Arabidopsis thaliana: one gene and its partners. The protein of the gene in region 2 interacts with the protein of the main gene of each other region in a pairwise test. Each region holds a gene or a part of one and is shown on either strand. Other genes may lie near its edges.

Evidence for each region.
Region 1: the proteins of AT5G25475 (region 2) and AT1G33760 interact in a two-hybrid assay, tested with the Arabidopsis thaliana proteins (one large-scale study listed by BioGRID).
Region 3: the proteins of AT5G25475 (region 2) and AT5G09780 interact in a two-hybrid assay, tested with the Arabidopsis thaliana proteins (one large-scale study listed by BioGRID).
Region 4: the proteins of AT5G25475 (region 2) and AT2G32020 interact in a two-hybrid assay, tested with the Arabidopsis thaliana proteins (one large-scale study listed by BioGRID).

The regions. Positions count from the first base shown.
Region 1 is NC_003070.9:12,233,322-12,240,789, forward strand, and holds AT1G33760 (Integrase-type DNA-binding superfamily protein), read left to right. Parts: upstream 1-4,225; 5' UTR 4,226-4,622; coding exon 4,623-5,177; 3' UTR 5,178-5,389; downstream 5,390-7,468. Other genes in the region: AT1G33750 (Terpenoid cyclases/Protein prenyltransferases superfamily protein), read left to right, coding at 448-711, 791-1,061, 1,184-1,559, 1,968-2,186, 2,265-2,403, 2,485-3,027.
Region 2 is NC_003076.8:8,864,528-8,872,632, forward strand, and holds AT5G25475 (AP2/B3-like transcriptional factor family protein), read right to left. Parts: upstream 5,295-8,105; 5' UTR 5,184-5,294; exon of another isoform or gene 4,991-5,183; 5' UTR 4,966-4,990; coding exon 4,864-4,965; intron 4,554-4,863; coding exon 4,503-4,553; intron 4,404-4,502; coding exon 3,962-4,403; intron 3,865-3,961; coding exon 3,740-3,864; intron 3,648-3,739; coding exon 3,393-3,647; 3' UTR 3,270-3,392; downstream 1-3,269. Other genes in the region: DGR2 (transmembrane protein, putative (Protein of unknown function, DUF642)), read left to right, coding at 1-244, 341-867; AT5G25470 (AP2/B3-like transcriptional factor family protein), read right to left, coding at 1,327-1,584, 1,691-1,812, 1,925-2,285, 2,606-2,707; DNMT2 (DNA methyltransferase-2), read right to left, coding at 5,542-5,614, 5,822-5,886, 5,981-6,046, 6,136-6,555, 6,763-6,885, 6,986-7,104, 7,181-7,274, 7,398-7,508 and 1 more.
Region 3 is NC_003076.8:3,036,456-3,044,476, reverse strand, and holds AT5G09780 (Transcriptional factor B3 family protein), read left to right. Parts: upstream 1-5,862; 5' UTR 5,863-5,992; coding exon 5,993-6,091; intron 6,092-6,516; coding exon 6,517-6,811; intron 6,812-6,891; coding exon 6,892-7,190; intron 7,191-7,287; coding exon 7,288-7,521; downstream 7,522-8,021. Other genes in the region: AT5G09800 (ARM repeat superfamily protein), read left to right, coding at 125-1,354; ATXR5 (TRITHORAX-RELATED PROTEIN 5), read left to right, coding at 3,507-3,861, 3,962-4,042, 4,307-4,536, 4,632-4,732, 4,819-5,031, 5,114-5,273; AT5G09770 (Ribosomal protein L17 family protein), read left to right, coding at 7,959-8,014.
Region 4 is NC_003071.7:13,627,766-13,635,205, forward strand, and holds AT2G32020 (Acyl-CoA N-acyltransferases (NAT) superfamily protein), read right to left. Parts: upstream 4,165-7,440; 5' UTR 3,980-4,164; coding exon 3,428-3,979; 3' UTR 3,215-3,427; downstream 1-3,214. Other genes in the region: CVL1 (CVP2 like 1), read left to right, coding at 1-13, 94-316; AT2G32030 (Acyl-CoA N-acyltransferases (NAT) superfamily protein), read right to left, coding at 4,910-5,476; AT2G32040 (Major facilitator superfamily protein), read left to right, coding at 7,351-7,440.

The DNA of each region.
Region 1 (7,468 bases), on a different chromosome or scaffold from region 2:
CCAAACCATGTTTGCATGCATAGTAGTGTTCAGAACCACGTGTTTGTGTTTCTCTTTGTTTGAAATTTTTTAATTCAAACATCGAGATTCTACTTAAATTGGGAGAATCAATCCCATTAATTCTACGTAATTAATTTCACATGGTTAATTTTTCTGAAAAACAATTTTTCTATAAGTAAATTGTTAGCTGCACACTGGGATAAAGCAATCAGGAGTAACGTGATTGTGTAGATTCCCTATAGGTAAATGAACCTTATCATTTTCCCTCGCATTTTTTTCGGATCTCATGTGCACGACGATGCCATTTAATTTTTTGACCACTTTTAAATCCGTCAATAAATGTTACATGACTGGGATTCCAATGATGTGTATTTAAAGCGTGACCACAAGGTACAGATGAGAAAGCTTTAGGAAAAAAAAAATCAAATACAGAAGAGAAACAAAAAAATGGAAGCAGCAAGAATGGGTTTTCGAGCTAAAACTCTCCCTCACCTTGGCAACGGTACTCGACTTCCTCTTAAGACCAAACTCTCGCTCTTTCCTATGCATTTGCTTCAAAACCACACTACTCTTTCCCGGAGATCAACAAAACTCAACTTATGTGTCAAGGCTTGTAGTAAGACTAGTGGTGTTGAGAGTAGTCGTCCCTTGCCTCACAGTGCTCCCGATCTTTGGGGAGATCACATCCTCTCTGTCCCCACCGAAAACTCGGTAAGTACCTGATCTGATGAATGTGTTTCATAATCAGTCGTTATTGTAGAACATTATTCTGAGCACTGATATTTTGTAGGAATTTGATACACTAGAGACAGAGATTGAATCAATAAAGCCGAAAGTGAGAAACATGCTAATGTCGTCTCACAAGACTGACAAAGAGAGAATATGTCTCATACACTTGCTTATTTGCCTTGGTACTTTCCATTACTTTGAGAAGGAAATTGAAGAGATTCTAGAACAGGCTTTTCGGAAGTTGGACATGCTATTTACAGACGAAGATGATTTGGAGACAACTGCCATCATGTTTGAGGTTTTCAGATTATATGGACACAAGATTTCTTGTGGTAAGACATGCAGTTCCCATTATTACCATTTTTCAATGGGATGCATATTTTATACCATTACATATGTATTTAGCTATATACATATATAACATATATATATATATATCCTGGTGTCAATTTAGATGTGTTCGATAGATTCAAAGGTGTTGATGCCAAGTTCAAGGAACATCTAGTCAGTGATGTTCGGGGAATGCTACAGCTGTACGAAGCAGCGCATCTCGCAACACCCTTCGAAACTATATTGGACGAAGCCTTGAGTTTCACAAGGTATCACTTGGAATCTTTGGCCGGCCAACAAGCTACAGCTCCTCATATCTCAAGACATATACTTAACGCATTGTATAAACCTCGGTTTCTTAAGATGGAAATAATAGCTGCCCGGGAATATATTCATTTCTATCAAAAAGAAGGTCATGATGAGACATTGCTCAAGTTTGCGAAGCTCAACTTCAACTTTTGCCAGCTACATTACGTTAGAGAGCTAAAAACTCTCACCAAGTATGTTGGCCTACTTTTATTCATATTTCCCGGTGAATTTCTTATATGTACATCCTTTAGTACTTTACCAAAACTCATGAGATTCCGACTAAAAACAGAGAGATAACAAGTAGATAGATTTATATATCTTATACATTAATTTAGATCTCATCTTACTTTAGGCTTGACCTGTAGGATTGCCCATCTCGAATTAAATCCCTCTTTTAGATTTTTTTTTTTTTATCAGGCAACATACTCATGTCGGGTCAATTGGAATAACATCTGTTATCATATAATTTTTAGTGAGCTTTCAATTCAAAACCTGTAGGTAATATGTTGATTGGTATGTGTCTTTTATATTATATTTTAATATAATCTTAGATGTAAGATTCTTATAATATTTTCTATTTAATGTTTTTGTGGTTGAAGATGGTGGAAAGACATTGATCTTCCATATAAGCTACCTTACATCAGAGACAGGCTTCTAGAGACCTTTATCGGTGTCATGGCGGTGTATCTCGAGCCACACTATTCACTTGGGAGAATTATAGCCACTAAAGTTTCCCAAGTGATAGTAGTTATGGATGACACCTGTGATGCATATGGAACTTTCTCTGAAGTTAGAAGTCTTATTGATTCTTTGGAAAGGTAGTTTACTAAGTATGAATCATGTGGTCTTATAATGACGTCATTTTTTAACGAGCACATGCATGGGAAAATCCTTAGGTGGGATCCTGGTGCCATTGACAAACTACCGAGCTGTTTAAGAATCGTCATCCAAAGTATAGTTGAAACAATGGAAGATATTGAAAGAGAAATGAAGCCGCGAGGAAGATCCTCGAGTGTGCAAGACACCGTAGAAGAGGTACACCAACAATTTTAGGGTTTAGTTTTAATCAATGTCCATATAAATTAATGTTTGTGTTTAATATTGAGAATTTTGCAGATTAAGATCATGGGGAGAGCGTACGCTGAAATATCAAAATGGGCACGAGCAGGTCACGTTCCAACCTTTGATGACTATATTGAGCTTGGGCTTGACTCGTCAGGGATTAGATGCTTTGCAATGTACAGCTTTATATCGATGGAAGATTGTGAGGAGAATCAAACGAACGCGTGGTTCAAATCCAAACCCAAAATGTTACGAGCTTTAAGTGTTATATTTCGTCTTACAAACGACATAGCCGGCTTCGAGGAGGAGATGAGGAGAGGAGAAGTGGTTAATGGGGTGAACTGTTACGTTAAGCAACATAATGTTACCAAGGAATTGGCGGTTCGAGAAATTAAGAAGATGATTAGAGATAATTACAAGATAATGATGGAAGAGTTCTTGACGATAAAAAGTGTGTCACGTCCGATTCTGGTCCGGTGCTTCAACATTGTACGATTGGTCAATCTGTATTACGAGGAGGGTGATAATTTCACCAATCCCAATGGCAAGCTCAAAGATCTCATCACATCTTTGTTCTTCCATCCTCTTCCGCTTTGAAGACTTGGCTCCTTGCCGAAAAATTCATCTACATTTCTCTTTCCATTATTATTGATGATTGTTAATTTGCTCTATGCACATATTTTTCCATTAAATTTTAATTCCTGGGGTTTCAATTAGTTTTTACTATTTTAATTTATTTTGCATAGAAGTTTTTTTTATAACTTTCACTACCCACAACGACAAGGAAAGTTGACCAAAAGAATGAAATAATATCATAATTCATGTTTATATACGTTATACTATTCAATTCTTAATTCATGTTTATATACGTTAAACTATTCAATTCTTAATTATGTTTCTTTGCAAATAATATTAAATTACACACATGAGTTCTTGAACCAAGGAACGTATAAGTTCAAAAAATAGACTGGAAAGCAAAACTTTGTTATACTTGTTGAGTTCTTATGTAGGATCCAAATCTTGTAGATAAGCAACAATATATAATGGGCGGTGAGATTAAGACTGAAAGTATTTTTTTGACCACCGGATGGACCGTACGGATTTCCACAATTCGATACGGTGTGGTTGTTAGTGCCTTAGTGGCGGTGGTGACCATTATGCAGCCATTTAACTATTTAGGGTTGGAATTTGGCTCATGAGGTTTTACTACACATCAAGAAATTATTTGGAGACAGAGCATCGATCTTCTGCTGGTCGGGTTTTAGAATTTCATAAAATCAAATTTTGGTTAATTTAGATGGGTTTCTTTCCCCAATTCTTCGTTATGAACAATTCATTATTTTGGTCAACTTAATTGTCTATGACTCTATGGGCAGTTACATAATGTTACTATCATATTTGCTGTCAAGACTCTTGAGATATGGCATATATGGACTTTTGTACGAGAACCTAAAGTTCTAACCAACACATGATATAAAGGACTAATTGCTTTTCTTTTCATTTGGTCTTACAACAACAAAACACAATATACTACTTTGACTTAAAATAATTGATCTTTTATATGAAACACTAATTTATCTCAGTATGAACTATGAAATCTATTTCCTAGTTGAAAAGTTTAAATATTTTGAACTTTTTGATCAAGTTAAATATCTATAATCTAACTAAGGCCCAGAATATACCAAATATGAAATATATTTATCAAGGCCATGTCAATTTTCTTGGAAGGCATGTACAAAGTTTTTACTGAAAACATATTTGATGTGTAAAAAAATATTTCTAAAAAAATTTAGAACCCAAATCATATAAATATCAAACTTGTCTTCAATCAAAAAAATAATATTCAATCAGCGTTTTCTTTCAAATACACACAACACACTATTTGTACACGCTTAAAGACAGCTTTGCTAATGTACAATATCCATGTAAGTAATAGAGACCCATGCATGCATGACAGCATATTTCCACTTCACAAGTAACTACGTAGGAAGCTCACTTCACCTGAAACCAAACAAGCCATCCACAAATTCTATTCCCTCATTTATTGTCTTCTTTATTTCTCTATATATACAATTTCACTTAACCACTGACTCTATAACTCAAAACTTCTAAACTAATTCGCACAGTTCTATATACACTCACAAACACACACACACACAATATAGTGCTACTAAAATAACCTTGTATTAATTATGGAAAACACTTACGTTGGCCAACGAGATTACCGCTTCAACGTTAACCAGTTGTCCTACAGAGGCATTCGTCGGAGGAAATGGGGCAAATGGGTATCGGAGATCCGAGAACCCGGTAAGAAAACAAGGATTTGGCTTGGAAGCTACGAGACGGCCGAGATGGCTGCAGCGGCCTACGATGCTGCGGCTCTTCACCTCCGAGGACGTGGGACCAATCTCAACTTTCCGGAACTCGTCGACAGTTTTCCTCGGCCGGAAAGCTCTAGTTCGGAGCACATTCAAGCGGCTGCACAAGATGCAGCACTTATGTTTAAACCAGGTAGGTTGAGTGAACCAGCTCTCGAGTCTGGTCAAGGACTTTCTCGAGTAGGATTGTCTCCGGATCAGATTCAAGCGATTAATGAGTCTCCATTAGACTCGCCGAGGATGGGGTGGATGCAGGATTTGGAAGTTGCTGACTACGAAGAATTATACGGACAATTTTTTGGTCAGCACGATAGGGATGAGTTTTTTGAAATGCAGCAATTTCAGTCCATATGGAATTCTAATAATTGATATACGTTCGCTTAATTGCTTAACCATTTGATTTTTTTTTTAATAATGTCATATCATCAACCAAGGTTTTTCGATTATATTCAGTAAAGTATAATAAATTTTCGACCCTTACTGTTTTTCTTGGGTTCAATTTGTAATCTCTTAACAATGATGATGTCATAAATACCAATATGATTAATTCAAATTTTCAATATATATGTAATGTTTTGGTTCCTTGTCAGTCAGATAGTATCATATGGTTTATACGAGAAATAAATATAAACCAAGGAAAAAACTCAATCCAAGAAAAAAAAATGTTATCTTATAAAAACTTAGAAAAAAGGGTGGTTACCTTGTGCTTCGTCTTCGGTTTTCGTTGTGGTATTCGTTAAATTGGAATAAGACTAACTCCGAAAAATAGGTAAGATTATAGACCAAAAACCTGAAACTCCTATGGTTTATTAAAAACAAAATTATTTGATGAAAGTCCATTATGTAGACACATATAACCCATAATATATACACACGAGCTGACGTGCACGTACCAATTCGTACTATGGCCGCCTCAAAAGTACAGGTTTATTCCATATTATAGTGAGCATGAGTCCGTTGAAAAGCTTTGATTACCTAAAGATATACTATAATCAGTATCAATAACAACTGTTGCAGTCAATATTATATTAGTATGAAATGTTTTAATTGTCCCATACGTTCAGTTTTCTGTTAGGCCTAATTGCGTGAAATTATAAATTAAAGTTTTAATTAGATCATAATGTAAAAGCATGAATTTGACTCTTTAGACACGTTTAAAAAAGCAAATTTCGAGACTCCAGTAAGTGATGATGACTAGAAAATTCTTTTATTAAATATAAATTAGAATAATCGCAATAGCGTTGGTATGGTACACTCCGTGTGGGGACAGAAGAGACGATTCCAATATGCCGTCAGAATCTCCTGTGGACCTACTATACATTGACATTTCAGCTTCAGCAAACACTTTCTTATCCTTAATATTATCTTCAAAAGTTTTGATATGATTTTTTGTTAACCGGCTAAATAAATACTTTAAAGAACTTCCTTATATTAATTGATACGATGATGATCAATCTTTTTTCATTTTTTTGTGGGTACAATGATGATTAATTCTTAGTATCAAAATGTGATGGATATGGTGATATAAGTGTGATTCTATTCTATAATCCACTATATGTAGGTTATTAATGAAACATTGTTTGAAGAATTACTGTACAAGTTCTCGTAGATCATTTGAGATCGTGGTCAACTTCATTTTTTACAATGCCTTACAACTTTCAGACAGGGCCGGCCCTGAAAATTAATGGGCCATAGCAATTTGATAATTAGTCTTTGTTTCGCTGTCAGAGGTTTATGACCATCGAAAACAATGATAGGTTGAAATGTGTAAGTGTAACGTCATGTTTGTTTGTAGTGAATTTAACATGAATTAAAGCTTGAGAGACTCATTTCTGAATATATACGGAGAGGTAGATTTTTGAATATATACAAAATCTGAACTAAAAATTACGGATAAAATACGATTAAGGAAAAGATGAATACGGAGAGGTGGAAGTTGATTTCTTTCTTTAATTCAATAGTTTTTTTTGTCTCTCATTATGGCAGTTCTTATGAGATTTTGAATCCTACGATACCATAATCACGACACTCAAATTTATGAACTGGTATCAGTATCTCTGTCATACCCTGGAGACTTAGTTTATATACAACGAGGATGTTGATAAATAACAATTGATGCAATGCAATGAGCCTATTGAAATTTTGCTGGCAAATTAAAAAATAATTTGATAATTTACCACATGTTGTAATGCAGAAAATAGGTCTCTCCATGCCATGTGTAAGCTTTTAAGTAAAAAATTTGACAATAAAAAAAAATACAATAAATTTGTGAATTGGAGAAGGGCGTTGGTCTCTGATTGGTTGATGAGATATTTTAGATATTTATCTCACCGTTATGAGTTCAAACTTAATTATTTTATACCAAAATTCATCATATCTACATATATATTTTTGCAGCTATTTTGTGAAATAAATCCTATAATTGGAACTTATTTACAATACGTACCACTGGATTTTAATGTTTGTTTTTGATAATTAGAAAAAAAATCTTCAAATTAAATATTTGACATTTAACAATCTTCCCTAAATCTCTCCACATTAACTACACGATTAGTTACTAAAATAAAACTTCCAAAATATTTAATATCATTTAATTACTACAAAATAAATGGTTTTTTTACGGGACGGATTGGTGGGACGGGTTTGACAGGACGTTACTT
Region 2 (8,105 bases):
GCTGCTAGAACTTGTGCACAAGACGAGAGACTTAACATATCTGTAGCACCTGACTCCGGTGTGATTCCGATTCAGACGGTTTATAGTAGTAGTGGTTGGGATTTATATGCTTGGGCGTTTCAAGCTGAGAGTGATGTTGCTGAAGTTGTGATTCATAATCCTGGTGTTGAGGAAGATCCAGCTTGTGGTCCACTTATTGATGGTGTTGCTATGAGATCTCTTTACCCTCCTAGACCAACTAATAGTAAGTCATTACTATAAATACTCTGTTTCTTGCTCTGTTTTTATAATCCTTGAACATGTGAATAATGATGATTTTCTTTTATGTTTGATTTGGCAGAGAACATTTTGAAAAACGGAGGATTTGAAGAAGGTCCATTAGTATTACCCGGCTCGACAACTGGAGTTTTGATCCCACCGTTTATAGAAGACGACCACTCTCCTTTACCTGGATGGATGGTGGAGTCTCTCAAAGCTGTCAAGTACGTAGACGTTGAACATTTCTCAGTCCCACAGGGTCGCAGAGCTATTGAGCTTGTAGCGGGTAAAGAGAGTGCCATCGCTCAAGTGGTTCGGACTGTCATTGGGAAGACTTACGTGCTGTCTTTTGCGGTTGGAGACGCCAACAATGCTTGCAAAGGATCAATGGTGGTTGAGGCTTTTGCAGGAAAAGATACACTTAAGGTCCCTTACGAGTCGAAAGGCACAGGAGGGTTTAAACGAGCTTCTATTCGATTTGTGGCGGTTTCGACCCGATCAAGAATTATGTTCTACAGCACTTTCTATGCCATGAGGAGCGATGATTTCTCGTCATTGTGTGGGCCTGTGATCGATGATGTCAAGCTTATAAGCGTTCGTAAACCATAGATGAATCACCAATCCTATTACAAGAAAATGCATCGTGTGGTCTTCTTTTATTTTCCTTAAACTGTCTTTGGTGTGTGTTGGATTTTATTGAAACGAGAAGGTGAAAAAAACAGAGTTTTATTTACGAGAGTTAGGGTTTTATATAGGCAGATGGGCCTTTGCTTATATTGTATTTTCTTGTATGAGAAGGCAAAAGAAACGTTGCCTATATCTTATGTATCTAGGCCTTTTAATTTTTATGGAAGAGTTACAAAACTTACAATAAAGTTGTATGCATATTTTACTTCTCACGAGCATATAAGACTGAATCACAATCGAGCATTTCCAATGAAGTAACAGAAGCATAAGAAATTTAGCATTTAAGTTTTGTTAAAGCAACATAAGGGTCACATATAAACATTACAATAGTAAGTTTGGTAAACACGAATGTTAAAGAAAAGAGACTAGAGAGGACTCATCTCATGTTTTATTGATGAAGTGCACTCTAACAGCAGTAACCAGTTCTCCAGAGCGTTCAAGTTCACAAACCATAGAGTCTCCGGTTTTCAGATTGTACTTTCGACATAGGTCCACCCAGCCATTGAAACAAGGGGCACTGCCACCGCCATAGATCTTAGTGGAGCCATTTATTTTATCTCCGGGAAGAAGGTAATGCATGGGGGACAAATGGGGACCAAACTTCAAGCCATACTTCTTAATCACTGTTTTGGGCACATACTAGTTGCACATTGTACATGAGAAATAGAGAGAAAGATAAGTCTTAGATTTAGAGGCAACAAACGTAAACTAGAATCAAAACTGATGAAAACACTGCTCTTATTACCAAAACGTCATTCCCTTTTGTCAGCGTTTTCACAAAGTAAGGGTTTTTGGGGTTTAGAAGGTACAGCTCAGGGTTTTTGATATCAGCACAACCATGTGTCTCTCGCCAATTGTCTGAAAATTCTGCCAAAACAGAAACAAAAAGAAGCAAACTTTGGCATTGAGAGAAAAGAAAAGAGTAGTATTGAGTATGAAGAGCATCAAAACGATTCTTTCATTCTGAATATAGCCATACCAGAAGCAGAAGCAGAGGCAGAGGCAGTGGTTGTCTCCTTGTGAGAATTTTTTGGTGTAGTAGGATGAAATGGTTCAGTTTCAGGTTCAACTTCAGGAGGTGCATCGATGATCTCGTTCCCATCATTCTTAAAGATTTGCACTTCAAGAAACATCTTGTCATCGTGTCTGAAGAACACGTTATCATTTGGGCCTAAATGGTTGTCATCCACAAACTCATCCCAATCTTCTTCTATCATAAACAGATCTTTTTCTTCTCGCTCCAGCCAGAGTTGCCAAGAATTGCCCCAACGAACACTGAACACAACTCTGTGCTCAAAAGCCCCGGGCGTGCTTTTCACAAACTCTTCCGGAAAACTCCTCTTCATAAAGACAGAAATCATAACAGTTGACAACAACAAACGATACTGACATTAGAAGAAGGAAACATGAGACTAAAAGCTAAAATACAATCAGCAGAACACGAGCTTGTCAAGCAGAACAAGAAGCAGGAATCATTGTGCCATTAAAATCTCCTCAAATGTTTCTTGAAAGATCAAAAGCTTTTTCGAACAAGAACAACAAACGAACAATAGATCTTTAGAGCAAACAAAGAAGTTCAATGGAAATAACAGTGAGTACAAAATCAAAGGAGCTACATTTTCGAAAGATTAGAAAAGAAGAGAGACTAATTTTGTTTTACCATGGATTTAGATTTCCAGTTTTGTCCTGGAGACAGAGACTTCCAAAAGCAAGGCTTGCTCACATTTCCTTGTATCTTATCAGTAGCATTCCTAGGCAACATCTTGTTCTCTTCAAAAGCTGGATGGATTCGGCAAAATTAGGGTTCATAAACAAAGACGAAGATGACTTGCATGTAATGAAATCAGTGAAACAGTAAAACTGGATAAAAATTAAACCTTTAATGCGTTATCTCGCTTTTCTTACTTTCAGTAGCTAAACCCGAAAGTGTTACAAAGCAGAGAACACGAAAATGGTGACTAATGAGAGACACAGAGAAAAACGAAGAAAGAAGCAAAATTTGTACGGTCAAAGGGGAAAAAAACTTAGGTCAGAAGTCAGAACAAAGTAAATGCGTAAAAGGCAAGTAATTGCGTCAAAAGTAACGTCGCCGGAGCATGAAATTCACGCACCGTCGCAGTCGAAGAAGCTTCCTCTCGCTGCTGTGTCTGCTCTTCTCAGCCCTTGTTCTCCAAATCGAATCTCTCTGCTTTCAGAAAGAGAGGAGACTCAACAGTCAACAGCACTGTGACAAGTGTCAAATGTGTACTGTGTATGGAAATAATAAAATGGTCAAACAATATTATTGGGCCGGATATGGCCCATATTAGAAACTGGCCCATCATACTCTAGAATCGATTCGATTGCAAGTGAATTGACAAGTTTGTTAAACTAACACATAATTGACACATTTAGCATTGTTACAGAAAGTTGTAAATAACATATTGTTGTTACTAGAGAGGATTGGTCTAGTCTTTCTTGACGAAATGCACTCTTACAGCGGTAACCACACCACCGGAGCGTTCAAGTTCACAAACCACGGAGTCTCCGATATTCAGATTGTGCCTCCGACATAGAACCGACCAGCCACTGAAACAAGGTTTCCCGTTATAGATTCTATTCTCGCCTTCCTCTTTTTTCTCCCCGGGAAGAAGATAGGTAATGGTGGACTTAACGGGACCAAACTTCAAGCGATAGCTCTGAACCACCGGTCGGCTCACATACTTGCACATACAGCAGGAAACAAAGACAAGCTTTAGCTTTCTAGGCCACAAATGGAATAAAAAGCTGACAATGTAAACACTTGTATTATTACCAGAACGTCGTTCCTTTTTGTCACCGCTTGCACAAAGTAAGGGTTTTCAGGATTCAAGAGGTATCGCTCAGGGTTTTTGACATCACTAGAACGTTGTTTTCCTCGGCCATTTGTCCCTCCATTTGCTGAGAATTCCACCAAAACAGAATCCAATCAAACATTGGCATAGAGAACAAATGATAGTTTGGAGTTTGATGATTCTATCGATCTGAATAGCCTTACCAGAGCAGCCAGAGCCAGAGGCAAAGGAAGAGGCAGGGGTTGTCTCCTTGTGAGGTTTCTTGGGCGTAGGATGAAATGGTTCAGTTTCGGGTTCAACTCCAAGAGGTACATCAATGATCTCAACCCCATTATTCTTAAAGATTTGCACTTCAAGATTCATCGTCTCATCGTGTTTGATGAACAGATTATCATTTGGACCTAAATGATTGTCGTCTACAAACTCATTCCAATCTTCTTCTATCATAAACAGCTCGTTCTTCTCTCGCTCCAGCCAGAGTTGCCAGGAGTTTTCCCAACGAACACTAAACACCACTCTGTGCTCAAAAGCACCACGCGTTCTTCTCACAAAGTCTTCCGGAATTATCCTCTTAATAAACCCAGAAATCAACAAAACAATACTTACATTCAAAAGAGGAAACATGAGACTAAAAGTTATAACTTTCTACAGAAAAAACACAAGCAGCAAAAACACGAGCTTAAAAGATTGGATTGTAGGTCAAGAAATGCAGAGAAAAGGACTAGAACCAACACTAGCATAAACATGAGCTAAGGGCAAACGAAACCTGCGACGTAAAAGTACCCATAACGGTAGCTAAAACAGGTCAATAAGTAACAAAATGAAGACCAAGCAGCAAGAAGCAGAGGAGGCATTGTGCCATTAGAATGTCTCCAAAGTTTCTTAAAAGAAGAAAAGATCTGAACTTTTTCAAACAACAACAAACGGGTAGTTCTGTAATAACTTGTCTATAAAAGGGCTAAACTAAACATGAAAGGATTATCACATCTTACTGTTCTAGCAACAACATCCAAAGCTATAAACTTGTAACAAAGCAAATTCAATAGAAAGAGTCTAAGAACAGTGAGTAAATATCAAAGGAGGAGTGAGTCATAATTGAAGTTACCATGGATTTAGATTTCCAAGTTTGTCCTGGAGAGAGAGACTTCCAGAAGCAAGGCTTGCTCACATTTGCTTGGATCTTCTCAATAGCATTCTTAGGCAACATTTTTCTTTTCAAAGCTGGATCAGTTCTGCAAAATTAGGGTTTGTATGATGACCTACTTGCATTTGTTCATAAAATTAGAGCCAAAAAATTGGAAAAGTAAAAAAAGAACAAACACTTTGTACGTACAAGGAGGAACAAAATATCTCTGGTCGGAAAAAATGAAGAAAAGTGGCGAAGAAGCAAGTAATAACGTAAAAGTAACGTCCCTAACGACAAACCTTAGGTAGTACCGCCGGAGCGTGAACTTCACGCTCCGTCGCAGTTGAAGAAAACTTCCTCTCGCTGCGGCTGCTCAAATAATTTAAAGTGACTGAGAGAGAGAGAGAGACAGTCAAAAGACTCATGTCTCATGCCAATATTATGGTCACTTTTTACGGAAATTTGGGTAAGAAATTATGATTAACGGGCCGAATAAGGCCCATTTAAAATACTGGCCCATAAAGTTAAGGATCGATAACAAAACGTAAGTTCATCAGTTTGAACTTTATCAGTAAACAAAAAAGTAGTAGAAGCTTGTTCAGGAGAATAACTGATTCCGGTAATTGGTCGCGTCACTTAGTGCATCAAATTGTGTAGTCAAGAATCGAATAGATACCGAAGCAGAGGAGCCACCACTGCTACACTTAAACTGTTTCCAAGCATTGCGTATCTGCACAAAGAGGAGTTCATGAGATTCATGTTCTTGTGTTCAACTATTTCCACATTTCAAACAGGAAGTACGGGAGAAATAAGGGTATTATGGGTTAAATTCTATATTCGAATCAAAACGGTGCCTCTGTTATACTTGGATGCACATAATCTATATAGACAGTAGCTTTTTCTGGCTTAGATGGTGTTGACGGTATGAACAGCGTACCTTTGTCGAAGGCTTATGTGCTTGGGGAACTCAAAATCTTCAGGGAATGAGTGAAAGTTAGCTACCTAAACAAATAGAAACCGAACATCATCTTTCAATGAAATAAAGCTGACTTTTTCAGTGAGGCATTAGTAGTAAAAGTAAAGGACAGTGCTTAACCTCTCTAGGGGTGAAGTATCTAAGCCGTTGCTCCTTCAAACAAGATTCCTTACCCTTGATTTTTGGCTGCGTGATCACAGATTCACGATAAGCATTTCTTTTCACTTTGCAAATACAGAGGAAAGTAATATTGTATACTCCATGGAAGAACGTACCTGGACAGTTGCCAATAGGGAACCTGTGCCCTTCACGTATCGATAATAACTCTTTGTGAAACAACAACATCTCTTTGAATCAGGGTAAACAATGTCCATTGCGTTTCCCCATCTCTCTATCAAACTAACTGGTACTAGATACTGATGTACAGAGTCTGGGACAGAATCGCCTTCTTGTCCACAACAATCTTTGGACCCATTTTCAGAGTCATCAACACTACTTGGCTCGCCATCAACATGTGCAGCTAACTCGAGAAACTTCTCTACTGGTTTGCAAAACTCAAGTAATTTATCCAATCCTTCTTCTGCTTGACATTTTCCAAACTCAACCTGATCATCACGCCCATATAACGGGTCTGGAGACCAGAGTAGTTTGTTATTACTGTGTTGGGACTTAAATGGCAGAGGTTTTCTTTTGGCCTACAAAGACACCAGGTAAATCAAATGATTTCAAAGTTAGTGACGTTTTAACTAAAACAAAAAGATTAACGCATATACATGAGAAAGTGCACACTACATGAGAAAGTTTCATAATCAGCATATACTTATACATTCTCAGACTACTAAAATTAACAGTTTTAGGTACACAGATATGCACTACGCAATCATAAGGTAAAGAGAAAGTACCAGGCAGAAATAACGTGGTCTTGAATACGGCACACCAAACTGCAGCGGACTCAATATAAACTCTTGTGTGACATAATCTAATTTTGTTAATGTACCAATCATTTCCATATGTGTATCCGAAGTCTGCACCAACAAACACCACCAATAAGCAAAAATGTCACGACTTCAAAGAAGATGATCGAGAACAAGTACTCTAGCTGGGAAGCATAAGCAAACACTATACCTCAAATCCAACAACATTCTCTACAAATAACATTTGTGGAGGCTTTGTTGTATGCGGTATAAGCTCAAGAATCCTGAGAAACGAAAAAGCCCGAGCATCACCAGAGTGTTTCTGAAGGCCTAACCAAAAAAAAACTGTTAGTATCCAAAAGCAAGTCATGTTGATAGTAAAGAAAACAACAGTGAAATGAATCACCTTGTCTAGTATAAGGTTGACAAGGAGGAGAAAGAAGCCAAGCATCTGCATTATACTTATCTAAATCAGCAGCAGTGAGACTCTGAATATTCCCCTATGAAAAACAACCAAAACAATAAGAACTAATCATGGACTAAGTCACAGAACTAGCATCATCTATGATTTGCAAATGTAACAATGCTTCTATTGATTATATCATATATAAGCATTAAGCAACCTGATAGGGACGATGTTTGAAATTATGTTGATAAACATCATTAGCAGAATCATTGATCTCAAAAGCTTCTACTACTTCTGAGACGATGCCTGACGCCATTAAAGAGTATCTCTAAGAGCAAAAAGGAATTAGGGTTTATGAGACAGAGTAGACTTCACTAAAAACATAGAATTGGAGGTGAAGGAGACTGTTACCATTCCACCGATTCCACTGTAGAACTCGAGAACTTGCCATGGCTTCTTCTCATTGATTCTCTGTAATTCTTGTTCCGCCATGCTTCTTCTTCTGCTGCTGCTTAAGCAAAATTAATTTGGGAGTTTTTGGTTATTGTTCTTATTCGTTTGGGTAAATTAAACCGTTTTTTTATATTGTTCTGTTTAGTAATAGAACCATACCACGCTTGTTCGGTTTATTGTTAGAACCATGTTTTTTGTTTTTTGTCGTTTTTCTTTATTAATTAGCAAGAAAACCCTCAAACTAGCCAATATGTTTCAAAATAACCCTCAACTTACAAAAAATAAAAAACAATCCTTAACCAATTTTTGTTTTTTTTTTCGTTAACCAATTTTAGTTACCACTGTTTTATATATTAAGGTTAAGGATATGTTATTTTGGGGAATTACATGGCATATCAAACACTTTGCTTTTTAGTATGTGTGAAAGTATGTTGTGGGTTTTTTATGTCTAATCTTTCATTTCATGGGGATA
Region 3 (8,021 bases), 5.8 Mb from region 2:
TCTCTCTCATGACTCATCATCTTCTTAAAACCTAACCACACGAGTCACGTCTCTTTCTCTCTCAGTGATTTTGTTATTTATTCTCTCTTTGAAACGTTTTCGCCGAAGAAGAAAGAGCAAAAACATGAGGAGCGATGATCTTTACATCACCACCGTCCCTTGTTTCTTCAAATGTCCAATTTCACTTGATGTGATGAAATCTCCGGTGAGTCTCTCCACCGGCGTTACATACGACCGAGTTAGCATCCAACGTTGGCTCGATGATGGTAACAATACTTGTCCCGCGACGATGCAGATTCTTCAGAACAAAGAATTCGTACCTAACCTAACTCTTCACCGTCTCATTGATCACTGGTCCGACTCCATCAACCGTCGAGCCGATTCTGAGTCTCCGGAATCCGATACTCCGACGCGAGACGAAATTAACGCTGCGATTGAGAGATTCCGGATCGAGAATGATGCTCGTTCGAAGATTCTCCGGTTCGCGAGAGAATCTGATGAGAACAGAGAGTTTCTCGCCGGGAAAGATGATTTCGTAGCGATGCTTGTGGATCTCATTAGCGATTCCAGAAACTTCTCTGATTCTCAATTGCTACTCGTTGGAGAAGCGGTGAAGATTCTGAGCATGATTCGTCGGAAAATCTTCGATCGGAGACGGTTATCGAATCTGATCTTAACGAACGGTGGTGATTGCTTGACTTCCTTCTTCCTATTGATTAAACGCGGGAATCCAAAATTGAAGATCGATTGCTCCGCCGTGCTTGAGTTTATCGCCGTCGACGCAGAGTCAAAGCTTATAATCGCCAAGGGAGAAGGATTGGTCACCGAGATTATTAAATTGATAAGCTCAGATTCCGACTCAAGCTTAATCGAAGCGAATTTATCTTTATTAATCGCGATTGCGTCTTCAAAACGCGTGAAACTCGCATTAATCAGAGAAAAGCTAGTCACGAAACTCACGAGTTTGTTAACAGATCCAACTACGAGCGTTTCAGTGACGGAAAAATGCTTAAAGCTTCTCGAAGCTATTTCGTCTTGTAAAGAAGGTCGATCGGAGATTTGTGATGGTGTGTGCGTGGAGACGGTGGTGAATAAGCTGATGAAAGTGTCGACGGCGGCGACTGAACACGCCGTTACGGTTTTGTGGAGCGTCTGTTATCTTTTCAAGGAAAAGAAGGCGCAAGATGCCGTTATTAGAATTAACGGCGTTACGAAGATACTGTTACTTTTACAGAGTAATTGCTCGCTTACCGTTAGGCATATGCTAACGGATCTTCTTAAGGTGTTCAAGGTGAACTCAAGATCTTGCCTTTCGGTATACGAAACCAAAACGACACATATTATGCCGTTTTGATTATCCCCCCTCCGTATTAACTTCTTTAGGGATTATTACTTGTTGGTAAAAAAAATTCAAGTTGTAAGGAAAGAGATTTTTTGGAAGGTGAATGGAATTGTTATCACGGCCAATGCCATTAGAACTTTGAGAATAAATTGCAATGTTCTTTAGTACTAGTATCATTGCAATGTTGATACTCTAAACCAGAATTTTATGTTTGGACTTGGCAAAATCGTATTAAAAGTAAAGCTATCAATATGCTCTATCAAGGGAGATGTTGTCTTTGTATCTAAAACAAACTGAATCTTGATTGATTGAGCAGTCAAAAACAAAATTGGATTTAAAAGATTACAAGAAGTGGATTTGGCATTTGGAGGAACGTTAGGATAAGGAAGGAGGTCTTTGGTGAGTTGCAATTTCTTGTCAACATCAACCTTAGTACCAATTTCCACTTTCATTACTTGAAGAAATTCACTTTCCGACAGAACAGCCTCACTTGTTCGACTTCTCTAAGATTCCCTCTACACCCGTATAACTCCAACACCTTCAACGTATTTCCATCAATGCTATACCCACAAGTACTTACACACTGAAAACCCTGAAACAACGGATAGAAAAGAAAAGAACACACAGTAAGTGAAACTCCGAGATTAAATTTATAATTGAGAAAGAGAAAAAGAGATCATATTATACATACAAACCTTGAGGATCAAAGTTTCTAGATTGGGAGAGCTTTTTATCAGAGTCCAAAGAACTTTCCAACCTTTTTTCGTCTTAGACTCAAACGATAGTTTAACAAGGTTTTTAAACAAGGGAAATTCATTACTACGCCAATAATCGAAGCAATGACGCATCATCTACAACACACAAGCAAACTGGTCATGAATGAAACACAAACAAATTGGTCAAGCATGAATGTAACAAGATACATGGAGAAGAGAGAGACATCATACTTTAACGGTAGTAGAAGCAAGGTCAAGAATGTTTTTCATATTCCTCATATTCATAGGGACAAAACTCATAAGGCATAGAAAGATCGATGCGGGCTTCTCGAAGGGAATCCATTGTGATGGACCAGTAATAGTCTTATTTCTTTGATTTTTTTGGAATACTATGACTTAAACAGTATTAGTATAAGCAAAACTTACATGGCGAGCATATATGAATATCTTGAAGCATCCACCGATGCAAGACTTAAGTTTTCATCCTTGTGAAGAAGTGCAACAACCTTAATAAAGGACTTAGCCACAAAATTACCTAGCATACACCCCGGTTCAGAAAATATGATAAGAAAGTTTTGCTCTCATCGTCAAGAATATATCAAACAACCATTTCACTTGTTCCAATTATGTATATTATTCTTTATAGTCTATACCATAACTATTTCATTAACGCTAACACCGCAATTTCTTATTAATTAAAAACCTTGAAAAAAATAGAGAAAACTATTCATATATAAAATTATAAGATAAAAATTTACAATTGAAAGATATTATATATGTATATAAAATTATGAAAATCAATATGGCGAAAAATTCTTAAATCGGAAACAGAAAATTATGTTAAACCATAAGACATAATTTATTAAATTTTGTATTTTATAGATTCAGATTTATGTAATATTACATTGTTGGTCAAACCAGAACACTTTGGTTTAGCTTGTCAAATAAAGAACTTGAGCCTCCAATGAGGCGGACCGACTGTTGGGCTTGGCGTTGGGGTGGCTCAGTTGACGAAATTGACGTTTACTGTGTTTGTATTGAGCCCACCAACATATATTTTTTTTCAATTGAAAGATATCTATTTTTGTAATTACGTTTGTATAGTATAGTTAATACTGTATTAATTTTTATATCAATCCCTAGTAAATTAAATAAGTAAAATTTAGTTAAGAAATTTAGTAACAATTAAAAGGCTTTAATGGTTGTAAATTTATTAGTATCACTTACAATGTTTAAACCTTTTAAGACATACCAGTAATTTTGAATTTGTCAAAGGTCAAAAAAACAAAAGAGCCGATAAAGAAGAGTCTCAAAGGAAGAATCCCAAATTACACTCCAGGTGATGCGCACATCAGTTTTCGTGCGCACACGCGGCGGTGCACATTAGCCCCAACCAATCAAAATCATATATCCCGTTCTCCGGCGACTCTTCGTCGTGAGCTTCCGTCATGGCCACATGGAACGCATCCTCCCCTGCGGCGTCTCCTTGCTCATCGAGGCGACGAACGAAAGCTCCAGCGAGACGCCCTTCCTCCGAATCTCCACCACCGAGGAAGATGAAATCAATGGCTGAGATAATGGCGAAATCTGTCCCTGTGGTTGAACAAGAAGAAGAAGAAGACGAAGACAGCTACAGTAACGTCACCTGCGAGAAATGTGGTTCTGGAGAAGGAGACGATGAGCTTCTTCTCTGTGACAAATGCGATAGAGGCTTTCACATGAAATGCCTTAGACCCATTGTTGTTCGTGTCCCCATTGGAACTTGGCTTTGTGTCGATTGTTCCGACCAACGACCTGTAAGAAGTATGGATTTTTTGTTTCTTCGCTTTTAAATTTCCTAATTTTCTTGTGTTCTTTGTTTAATAAAAAAATGGATTTTTCTCTTGTCCGGTGAAATGTTTAGGGTTATCTCAGAAGAAGATTTTACATTTCTTTCGGATTGAGAAGCATACTCATCAAACAGACAAATTGGAATTGAGTCAAGGTGCGATTTTTGTTTTTGGATTTCATGATATGATCATAAAGTTCTTGAGTTGATGAATCTGACGAGATGTTTCACTTGATTAAATAGTTAGATGAATATGAAATAGCTTAACTTTGGCCTATTATATGCTTGAAATTTTGTTGCACCTTATGTAGGGTTAATAAGCATTGATGAGAACTTATACATATCATATACATAGATCATAGATGCTTCAGGATTAAACTAATAACAAGTGTTTGAGATTGAGATTTCTTTGTTTTGAAGAAGAAACTAGAAAGCGGAGACGATCTTGCTCTTTGACAGTGAAGAAAAGAAGGAGAAAACTCTTACCTTTGGTTCCATCAGAAGATCCTGATCAGAGGCTTGCACAAATGGGAACACTTGCTTCTGCATTAACGGCATTGGGTATCAAATACAGCGATGGTTTAAATTATGTTCCCGGAATGGCTCCTCGGTCTGCAAATCAATCCAAGTTAGAGAAAGGTGGGATGCAGGTAATAAACAAAAACAATCTTTCAGCCATTTATCCATAACTCTCTTATTTTAAGTTACTTCCTTGATTGTTTATCTCGGTTTTTACTTTTCGCAGGTGCTATGCAAAGAAGATTTAGAGACATTGGAACAATGTCAATCTATGTATAGACGAGGAGAATGCCCTCCTCTCGTTGTGGTATTTGATCCGCTTGAAGGGTATCTCTCTCTATTCCTTCGATCAACCTTCCCATAATGACAAAGTGGAGTTGTAAACATGTTCTTTGGTTATTCCGTTTGTACAGTTACACAGTTGAAGCAGATGGTCCTATTAAGGACTTAACATTCATAGCTGAATATACAGGGGATGTTGATTACTTGAAAAACCGAGAAAAAGACGATTGTGACAGCATCATGACTCTCCTTTTATCAGAAGATCCTTCAAAGACTCTTGTTATCTGTCCAGACAAGTTTGGAAACATATCTCGCTTCATTAATGGCATTAACAATCACAATCCGTAAGCAACAAATTCAAAATTGTTTTCCCCCCACTAAACTGGTTTATAACATTGAATCATCACATCACACTGATTGTTGCAGGGTTGCTAAGAAGAAGCAGAACTGCAAATGCGTGAGGTATAGCATAAACGGCGAATGTCGAGTTCTTCTAGTGGCTACACGCGATATATCGAAAGGGGAAAGGCTCTATTATGACTACAATGGTTATGAACATGAGTATCCTACTCATCACTTCCTCTGATCTTTCAATTCTAACAGTTCTACAGAGTCTCTAGATCAGATGTTCTTTTTGTTGCCATATTACAGGTCAATTATAAATGTAGGGCTGCTGAATATATGGCCTTTAATTATGAAGTTAGCGGTAGAATAATTGGATTTGGAATGACATTACAGAGATTAAGATGTGGCAAATGTCAATTGCTGAACTTTTGTTTGATATCAAATGAAATCCTAACCTTTTTCTTATATGTTCTTGGAGACAACTTCACCACCTTAAGTGGTTGCCAAATAAGTTATAATTTCTTTTATACTCTTCTTCATAAATTTATCAAAATGAAGAACTAATCCAATACAGTCATTACCTAAACAGAAAAGTATAATTACAGTACTTGCCTAGTGTCGTACTTCTTATTTCCAGTCACCGAAATGTATTAACGCCAAAAGAGATTCATCTGTTATGCATAATAATCGCATGCTATGAATTAAATGAACACATCCAAAAAGGATGAAGTCACAATTGTACTACAGTTTCAGTATTGAGAGGAAAGCTTTTTTCACTTTGACCACTTTGATTGAATCATATCTTTGAAATTTTAAGTGGTGCTTTGCTACATATTCAACGGCTCAACAAGACAGAGAGAAAAATATTACGAGAGGAGATAGAGAGTGAGAGAGACGAGCAAGTTGAAGGAGCAAAACTTGTAGGTGAGAGCTTGAATCAGAACATTTCAAAGGAGAGAGATGGCAAGTAACCCTGATTTTCTTTGGTGCAAAGAAGAGAGGAAGCAGGAAAGCTTCTTCAAAGTTCTTAAGCGTTCCGACATGTCTTCAGAGGACACGGTAAACTATGTTCTAAACTCTTTATGTTGTTGAATTAGCTTAGTCTAGAAAGGTTAAACTTTCGGTTTCTTAAAGGTTTGAATCTTGTCGTTAACTGTCTTTATGGGTCTAGAAAAAGCTTTTGTTTTTCTTTTCTGAGGAACTTTTTTCATGGTTTTGTGCTTCTCTTAGTTCTCAGTTCTCTGTCTGAATGTGAAGATGTGTACTTTATTTCTTGTGGATGAGATCTGTTCTGTTCATTTTCACCGTCTTGTTGTGTTTGTCATTTGTGTGTTATAGCTCACTGATTTCATGGTTAGATTTGAAACTTTGTACTCAGATTCTTGATGGGATGTGTAAAAGCTCACTGATTTTTCACTGTTTTATATTAATATCAGACATGTATCTTACTTATATCTTTTCATCTTTCTTTTATATAACCACAGCGAGCGATTCCGTACGACTTTGTGATAAACTTCTCTGACAATGAGCTCTCCGGAGACATGAAGTTCAGAGTGCAATGGGGAAACTCTTGGAAAGTAAAAATCTCCAAGAACCCGAGATTCTACTTCATGGAGAAGTCTGGATGGGAGAAGTTCGTGATAGACAATGCCTTGGGAGACCACGAGTTTCTTACCTTCACTCACAAAGGACAGATGAGCTTCACTGTGAAAATCTTCAACAAAGATGGCAAGGAGATGATGCAACCTCCGCAATCCAGAGCCTCTTTCGCTTCTTCTAGTAAGATTTTGATTCTCTGATTATGAAACAGTGAACCGGATTAAAGACATTGATTCTTCATACTTTTGATGATGAAACAGGTCGTGTCAAAACAGAACAAGATGTCAAGAGGGAGGAAGAGGTGTTGGTGTCTTCTGACTCGAGGTCTCGTGGCCCGACAACAGCAGCTGAAACTAATAGAGGAGGCAGCTACAAAAGGAAGCTCAACTTTGGGAAGAAGAAAGCTGAGGAAACCCAAACTTACAAGAGGACTGAGAGGACCCAAAATTCCAAGAGGACGGAGAGAGTGGTTAGTAAGGAGAGAGTTTATGCAGGCGAACCTTCCTCTTCTGTTGCAGGATTCAAAATCTTTATCTCGAAATCATACATCAAATCCCTGGTATGATAAGAGCACTAACACACAGTTTCTGATATTGGCTTTTGTGTCAAACTTGATATGTTAATGATTGACGAACAAAATTGGTTTGGTTTTTCAGGCGATCCCGAAACCTTTTGGAAATTATATGCCGAAGGAGAAAACAAGGGTCAAGATCCATCATCCAGATGGGGAGAAGACATGGAAGGTTGTTTTTGTGGTAAAAGAGAGGGGTCAAATTTTCTCTGGTGGATGGAAACGTTTGTGCAAGGAGTATCCTGTTGTTTTTGGGGACACTTGCAAATTCACCCTCATCACACCACTCGAGCTGCTTCTAGTTGTCTCAAAGCCATAAGAGAGAATAACTCACTGATGAATGATGCTGATGGATGTGAAGGTGCCTTGGATAACAAGCAACTGAAGTAAACTACTTTTATGTTTAATGGTGTTAGTTTGGTTATGTGAACTTTCCTACTCGTCTGTAGCTTTCATATGTTTGGGACCAATTTTTATTTGTTTCGTGTTTCCGTGAGACATTAATTTGCTTTCTCTTAGTTATATTCAGCAACCAAAATCTGTTGGAACTTTTTTTGAGGCAGATTCCAAATTTTAGTTTAGAACAGAATTAGTCAAAAACCGGTTTGTAGGATATATGGGCCCTTTTGTCCAAAAAAAAGAGAGGATATATATGGGCCCAAAGCCCAAACCCAGTAGGCGCTTCACAGAGTTACAGTCTCTCCTCCTCCTTTAGGGTTCTTCTCTCTGTTCAGAGATCACTTCTCCGACGCAGAAATGACGAAGTTCAGGAAGCTTGGTCGGCCGGCGGGTCACCGTATGTCCATGCTTAGGTTTAGT
Region 4 (7,440 bases), on a different chromosome or scaffold from region 2:
GTACTCCTGCTTGGTAAGTTTCTTGCAATCAGAATAATAAACAAGAACCAAGTAATGATCTAAAAATGGTATTTTTTGGTTATGTTACTAAAGGTGTGATCGAATACTATGGCATGGAGAAGGACTACATCAGTTATCTTATGTAAGAGGGGAGTCACGGTTTTCTGATCATAGACCGGTTTATGGCATATTCAGCGCAGAGGTTGAGTCAAATCACAAGAGATCAAAGCGAACCAATAGTCACTCCACTGCACGGGTCGAAGCTGAAGAACTCTTACCTTACGCCCGCGGATACACCGAGCTAACATTTTTCTAAAAGAAAATTGAAAAGCCTTCTTCTTTACGGTAACATCTCCTTTTCATAAGATTTATAATTCTAACCATAAAATTAGGAGATAGCAGATAGAATGTAGTGTCAGTGACATTGATCAAAGCCAATGTAGTCCATTAGTAGGAGTAGACTAGTAGTAATAGTTGTGGTCCTGAAACTCAAAATAGAGACTTAAGTCCAATGAGACAGGTCTGCATTTATTATGTATCAGCCAAGAAAAGTATAATCCACACGTTCCTCTCATATCATTTAAGGCACATCACATTGATTTGGATAAAAATGGACCCGTTAAAGCGATCTGTTTTCGTGTTTTCGATTCGAAAATGTGATAAGATATTGTCTCTGCATCATCATCAGCAATAATATTAATGATGGAAGATTTCTTGACACCAAGATTTGTTGTGTGATCTTTTTTTTCTGAAATCTCATAAAGAGTTATAATTGTATATGATTCTTCATCATATTAATATCACTTATGGTATATAATTTGTTTCGGCTTTTGTCAGGTCAATTAAAGTTTTTTTTGTTCGAATGTTGAAGCCTTGAGGAGTGGATGATGGAGACATTTCATTGCTCCTTTTAACACAAAGGAAACAAATAACAGGTTGGTCCAACTTCTCTTCCTATGTCTGTTTCCGGTTCGGTTTCGATTGATTTTAACGGTTGAATTTCCGGTTTACAGGTGTATAAAGGATTGTAATTTTGTCTTGGTTAATAGAATTTCGCATATCAAACCGGTTCTTTCATTTATCATGTCAGGAGTAGGAGTTAAAAGTAAATTTTACAGTGTAGGTAATAATTAATTTGTAATCACAATTTAATTCAGTTTGATTCTACTCATAAGGTAACAACAGTTTAATAAAACTTGTTTTTGTGCAGGATTATTAAACTGACAGATGGAAGGTTTTTTTTAGTTCTTCATCAGTCTTTTTAGGGATAGTTTTTGATAATATTATTATTGTAAATTGAAGTGTGTTCCCGAGACAATGATAGTGTAATGCTTGTTGTATAAGTAAGATTTAGCCGTTTAATAAGTGTAACAAAAATACTATACAGCAAAAGCAATTATTTCATTCATTATGATAGTTTTCTTACAAAGGAAAAGTGAAAAGAATAAAAAGATAACGTCTTGTGATGATCTTTGTACTGAAAAAGTTAGGGCTTCTTGATAACCTCGAAGCTCACTCATTCTCTGATTCTATGTATTGGAATACAGAAATTCAATGATTAGTTTTATTTTTTCTGCAATCTCATAAAGAGTTATAATTGTAAGCAATTAGTCAAAATATCAACATTCAAATACCTTTGCATTATTTTTTGTAGCACTGCGTGCAAAAGGTTTAATAATTTTCAATCATTAGTTTGAGTATATAAGCTGTAATTTAATCAGATGAAATTTGTATATTATGTTTTGAAATATTAAAGGTAAGAGAGAGAATAGTGTAAAGATGTGAATGTAGAATGAAATGATTGAAAAAGAGTATGAAAGTGCAGAGAGTGTATTGTGTAATCTCATGCTTTTCTCTTTTTCCTATTTGCTCATGCTTTCTCTTGTTTCAGCTTTCGTGATTACAACAACACTTCTAAATTCCCTTTTTTTTTGGGTTATTTATTTTAAACCCAAATTAAAAATAAAATAAAAACATTCTTGTACAATGTGAAGTGAGACAATGATCAGCTCTATTTTTTTTTTCATGAAAACCCCTATTTTTACCTAACATTAACAAATAAATAAAAATGGAATGGAATATGTGGTCCAGAACAAGAAGTGTATATCGAAATGATTTACTTAAATACCTTTAACTATTACTCCAATCCTATTAAAATTAAAGTCCATCAGCTATGATTTACAGGAGTGGACATTCTGATATTTTATCTAATTCGATAAATGTTGCGGTTCATTCCAAATTTGTACCTATTTAAAGGTAAAATATCTATATAGTCTTATCGAATTTTGGAGCTAAGATTATTTTTAATTCCTAAAAACATATGTTTAGTGAGCTAGTTAGTAAATGAATCTAATTTTTTTGTTGGTTAACAGAAAATATCACATACTTACATAGTGATTTCAAATACTAATAAATTGTTTCATACTATATGCGTATATCCTATATGGACTGACTGGTCAGACATATTGAACGGAGTGGAGTCTTTATTCACATAACCTAAAAATAACTTTTTTTGATATGCATGTGTATCTATAGGCCAAATATATTTTAGTTCTACCACAGAAGTTAAAATAAATTGTATTAGTAATATATTTAGTCCTTTGAAAGTGGGAAACGAAATTAGCCTCACACAAGCACAGTGATGATTGATTTCTTCTTCTTTTTTTTACCCAAAAAAATCCATTTTTTCTTGTAATTTCTTATTTCCAGATTATTTTCTTCATAACAAAAAAAAAAGAAAAGAAATTGCTCACTTCACTTCTCACTAGATTCTTTATAACGAAACCTCCACTACACGGGCCCTAAATTTGGGCCACATGGGCTTCTCTCTTAACGAATTACGCACGAGTAAACTTCATTTTTCCAACAAGAAGAAGAAACTCAGGGGAATCTAAAGATTGTTTACTTTAATTTAAGAAATATGGAGAAATCATAATAAATTAATTACGTACTACTTATAGTAAATTTGTTGAATTACATAAATTCATAATTCAAATTTTACAAATACTTTTAATATCCTGTGTTATTTTAACAAAGCTGGTCTGGCTCTTAAGTTCTCATCCCAAGGACCATGGGATGTTTTGCTTTTTTTTTCTTTTGCTTGTTGGATGAGTATGTGAACCTTTTTATGGATACAGGACGAATCCCATTGTTTTATTTACATTCTACATTATTCGTTTATACGCTTCTATTAACCTTTGATTTTTAAAACTCTTCTCTACCTATCAATTTGTAATCGGATGATCCCTCTAACCTCACTTCTGTCTCATGCACTGACTTTAATTGTTTCGTAATTTACAATGTAGGATTTATAGATTTTTTTGGCAAATGAAAAACAGAGTGTTTACATCATGTATTACGTATATGAATCATACACTAAATCCAACATATATATGTAGAATTGCTAATTAATCTTTTTGTTGATTAATTACTTCAAAGTATCAGTAGACAAGAAACTAAACATAACAGTGTCTCTTACACTTCCCTTGATACATATAAACTTCCTCATCACACCTTCTCTAGTAAACCCAACTTTTTCAAGAACCCTTTGAGATCCAACATTGTCCACATCAACAAGTGCCTCAAGCCTTTCAATCTCTGGAAATTCCTCGAATACCTCCGCGGTCACTAGCCTCACTGCTTCCGTGGCAAACCCTTTTCCCCAATACTTTCTCGCTAGGACATAACCAATCTCTTTTCTGATGTTATCAACCGCCATGATCAAGATGTAGCCGATTGGACGGTCGTCTTCTAAGCAGATGGCTCGGAGCCAAGGGTGTGTCAGGACACGATCGGTTATGTATTTGATAGCTTCGTCTCGGCTCGTGCAAGGCTCCCAAGTGCAAAATCGAGCCACTTTAGGATCTGTGGCCCAAACCATGTAGTCATCGACGTCGGAAAGAGTCATCGGCCGGAGAGATATTCTTCCCGGAGGCGAAGAGCTCATTATTGGATTAGTTTCTTCTGAGTCCATCTCCATTTAGGATTAGTGATTGTTTTAGATATCATATCACTACGTCTAAGCGATGTCTTTATACACATCGCGATCTTGAAAAACTTTGAGATTCTCCCTTATTGCTTTTGACTAAAAAAACACTAAATATTACCATTTGCTATAGATAAGTGTATTTAGTGTTAAATATACGACATAAGATGAGGTGTCATCGTGTGAGTGGATAATTGTCTATATTTGACCTTGGACTTTCGACACTTACTTGGTTGCCAAACAAAGTATTGTTCTGGTTTCGGAACTTAATGTGTTGCTTCCAGTTGGATGCCCACAATGCCACGTGTCAAATCGTGTGTGGTCTGATTCCCAAAAAGGATTTAACTGTTTCTCAAGTTATTCTAAATGGATTAAATATTTTAATACTGTTAATATTTGTGGTGCAAATGATCGTAATCGTTTGTTATATACTGTCAAAATCAACTCAAGAATCAAGTCACTCAACATGTTGTATGATTAAGTAATTTAGCTAAAGATTAATTAATCGAATGTTATCAGAATTCCATTCATCTATCGCTGTAAAACTAGCTATCACACTATCTTTTTATTGTATAAAATATTTCATGTTTAGATTCAAAAAGAAAATATATATATATATATCATGTTTCATTTTGTACTTTTAATTTTCAATATAAACTTACATTTTTTCTGAGATAGTGAAGCTTTGTTTTATTTGGTGAAGTGAACATGGTAAATAGTAAATACATTACTCTCAAATTATAAAAAATAACTTTTGTATGAAATAGTTAATATATAAGGTTACAACTAACAATTACATAAGAAGAAGAAAGATAGAGCATCACATCAAATTATACATGTGATTTTTACAAACTAAGCAAAATATAAATTTCGACATCAAACAAACTTAATATATATATTTGATATTTGTTAATTCAAATCAGATCAGTGCAACGAATCAGAAGGCAAGAAACTAAACATGACCATATCTCTAACATTTCCTTTAAGATACATAAATTTCCTCATCACACCTTCTTTCACAAACCCAACTTTTTCAAGAACCTTTTGAGATCCAACATTGTCAACGTCAACAAGTGCCTCAAGCCTCTGCATCTCTGGCTTCTCCTTGAATATCTCCCCCGCCACAAGCCTCACCGCTTCAGTGGCGATCCCTTTCCCCCAATACTTGCTTCCGAGGACATAACCAATCTCTCCTCTGATCTCATCGACTGGCGTTACGGAGATCGAGCCAATCGGACGGTCGTTATCTAAGCATATAGCTCTAAGCCAAGGGTGTGGCAAAAGAGCGTCGTTTAAGTACGCGATCGCGGCTTCTCGGCTAGTGTAAGGCTCCCACGTGCAAAAGCGTGTGACGTTTGAGTCAGTGGCCCAAACCATGAAATCGTCGACGTCGGAAAGAGTCATTGGCCGGAGATGGATTTTCTCCGGAGGTGAGGAACTCACGGTGGATAGGGTCTCCGGTTTGATCGTAGTAGTTGAGTCCATCTCCATTGACTTTTTCTTGGTTACTTTCCTTTTTGAGTCTTTGAAGCTTCTTTGGGATTCTTTAAAATAAATTATCTCTCTCAATTCTTACAGATTTGTGTAGAGGCATTATGATAATACTTCTTCTACAAATCACGATTTAAATACTGATTTTTTTTTAACAAAAAAGAAAATAAACAGAACGTTCCTTCTTGCTTCGATCGGTCAAATACGCAACAATTAGTTCTTGTTGAATGGAAGGTGTGAAAAAGACGGTTTATAATGGGTATGGGTGAACCGTATATTTACCATCCATTCATCGTTTTTGATTTAAAAGAGGTATATTCAATCTAGTATTTAAAGTGACTTTCGTAAATTTTACAAGTATATGTTATTTAATTATGGATTTTGAAAATTCTAATGAAATCTAGTGTTATTAAAATAATAATTTAAAAATCTACCTTTAAATTCACTGTTATTAAAAATAATTTATGGATTTGATTTTTATAAGAATGTATTCAATCTAATATTTTAAGTGATTTGTGTAAAATTTATAAATTCTATGTTGTTCGATTATGGATTTGAAAAACTTTAATGAAATCTAGTATTATTGAACTAAAGATTTAAAATTCTATCTTAAAATCTATTGTTATTGAAAATAATTGGTAGATTTGATTCTTATTAATTTTGAAGGATTTGAGAAAGTTCTTTAGTTAAAAATAACAAAATCGAAATTCATGGTCTTATATAGAATTTTAAAATATTTTATAATAAATCACATCAATTTTCCTAAAATCATCAAACTCATATAAAAACTAGCTAAAACTCAAATTGTAAGGTCCAAATTAATGAGTCAACTCAACTCAACTCAACTCAATCCATGAACCCTAATGAGTTGAAAATTTTGACTCAAATGAGTTGATGAGTCAAATGAGTTGATGAGTCAATTGGTTTGATGAGTAAAATGAGTTGGGTTGTAATGGTTAATGGTTTCAATGGTTTATCCAATTAACCCATCAAATTTTGTAAAATTGAATTAAACCAACTAAAATCTCTAAACCAATGCCAATTTAAGTCTAACCAACACATCTAAACCAATTTAATAAAATTAATATTTTTCCAAATTTCTTAAATATACAAGCGATGAAATTGAGAAAAAGTAAACCCGTAATTTTTCCGCCAAAAACGTAAATCCGTGATTTTCCCGCCAAAAACGTAAATCCATGATTTTCCCGCCAAAAACGTAAACCCGAGATTTTCCCGCCAAAAACGTAAACCCGTAAAAAGTGGAATCCGTAAATATATTAAGTTTTGATGATAATGAATTAATAATGATAATTATTTATTATTATTTTATAATAATAATTAATTAAATTATTACTTAAATGGGTTAACCCATTTAACAACTCAACCCATTAAATTAAATGAGTTATGGGTTGACTTAACCCATTTAACAAAATGAGTTGGATCAACCCATAACTCATTTAACCCTAAACTCATTTGATTATGAGTTGAGTTGAGTTGTGTTACCCATTTTGACACACTTAGATCTAATACACCTCTTTATTAATTTTAAAGGATTTGAGAAAATTTAAAAAGATTTATTTAGTTACATATATAAAAATTCAAATCTCATATTTTTACTGGAATTTGATTTTTTTTTTTTACAATAAATCACATAAAAAGACATTAAAACTCAAAATTATTTAAAATATAAGGTTCAATACATATTTTGTCAATAAAAATTTAATAAGCTGCTAATATAGTTCATGAGAAAAATCAAAAATTAATTTATCAATCGAAAAAAAAGACGAAGAAAAATTAATTTATCTACGTAGCGCAAGAGACGGAGTGTTGTTTATTTAAAGAAAAGAAAGAAAAAAAAAAGAACGAATATTAAAATGGCGAGTCGCTCTCTTTTCTCTATCTCAATCTCACCTTCTCAATTTACAGTTTTGCCATCCATCAACAACGAGAGACGACGCCTTGCT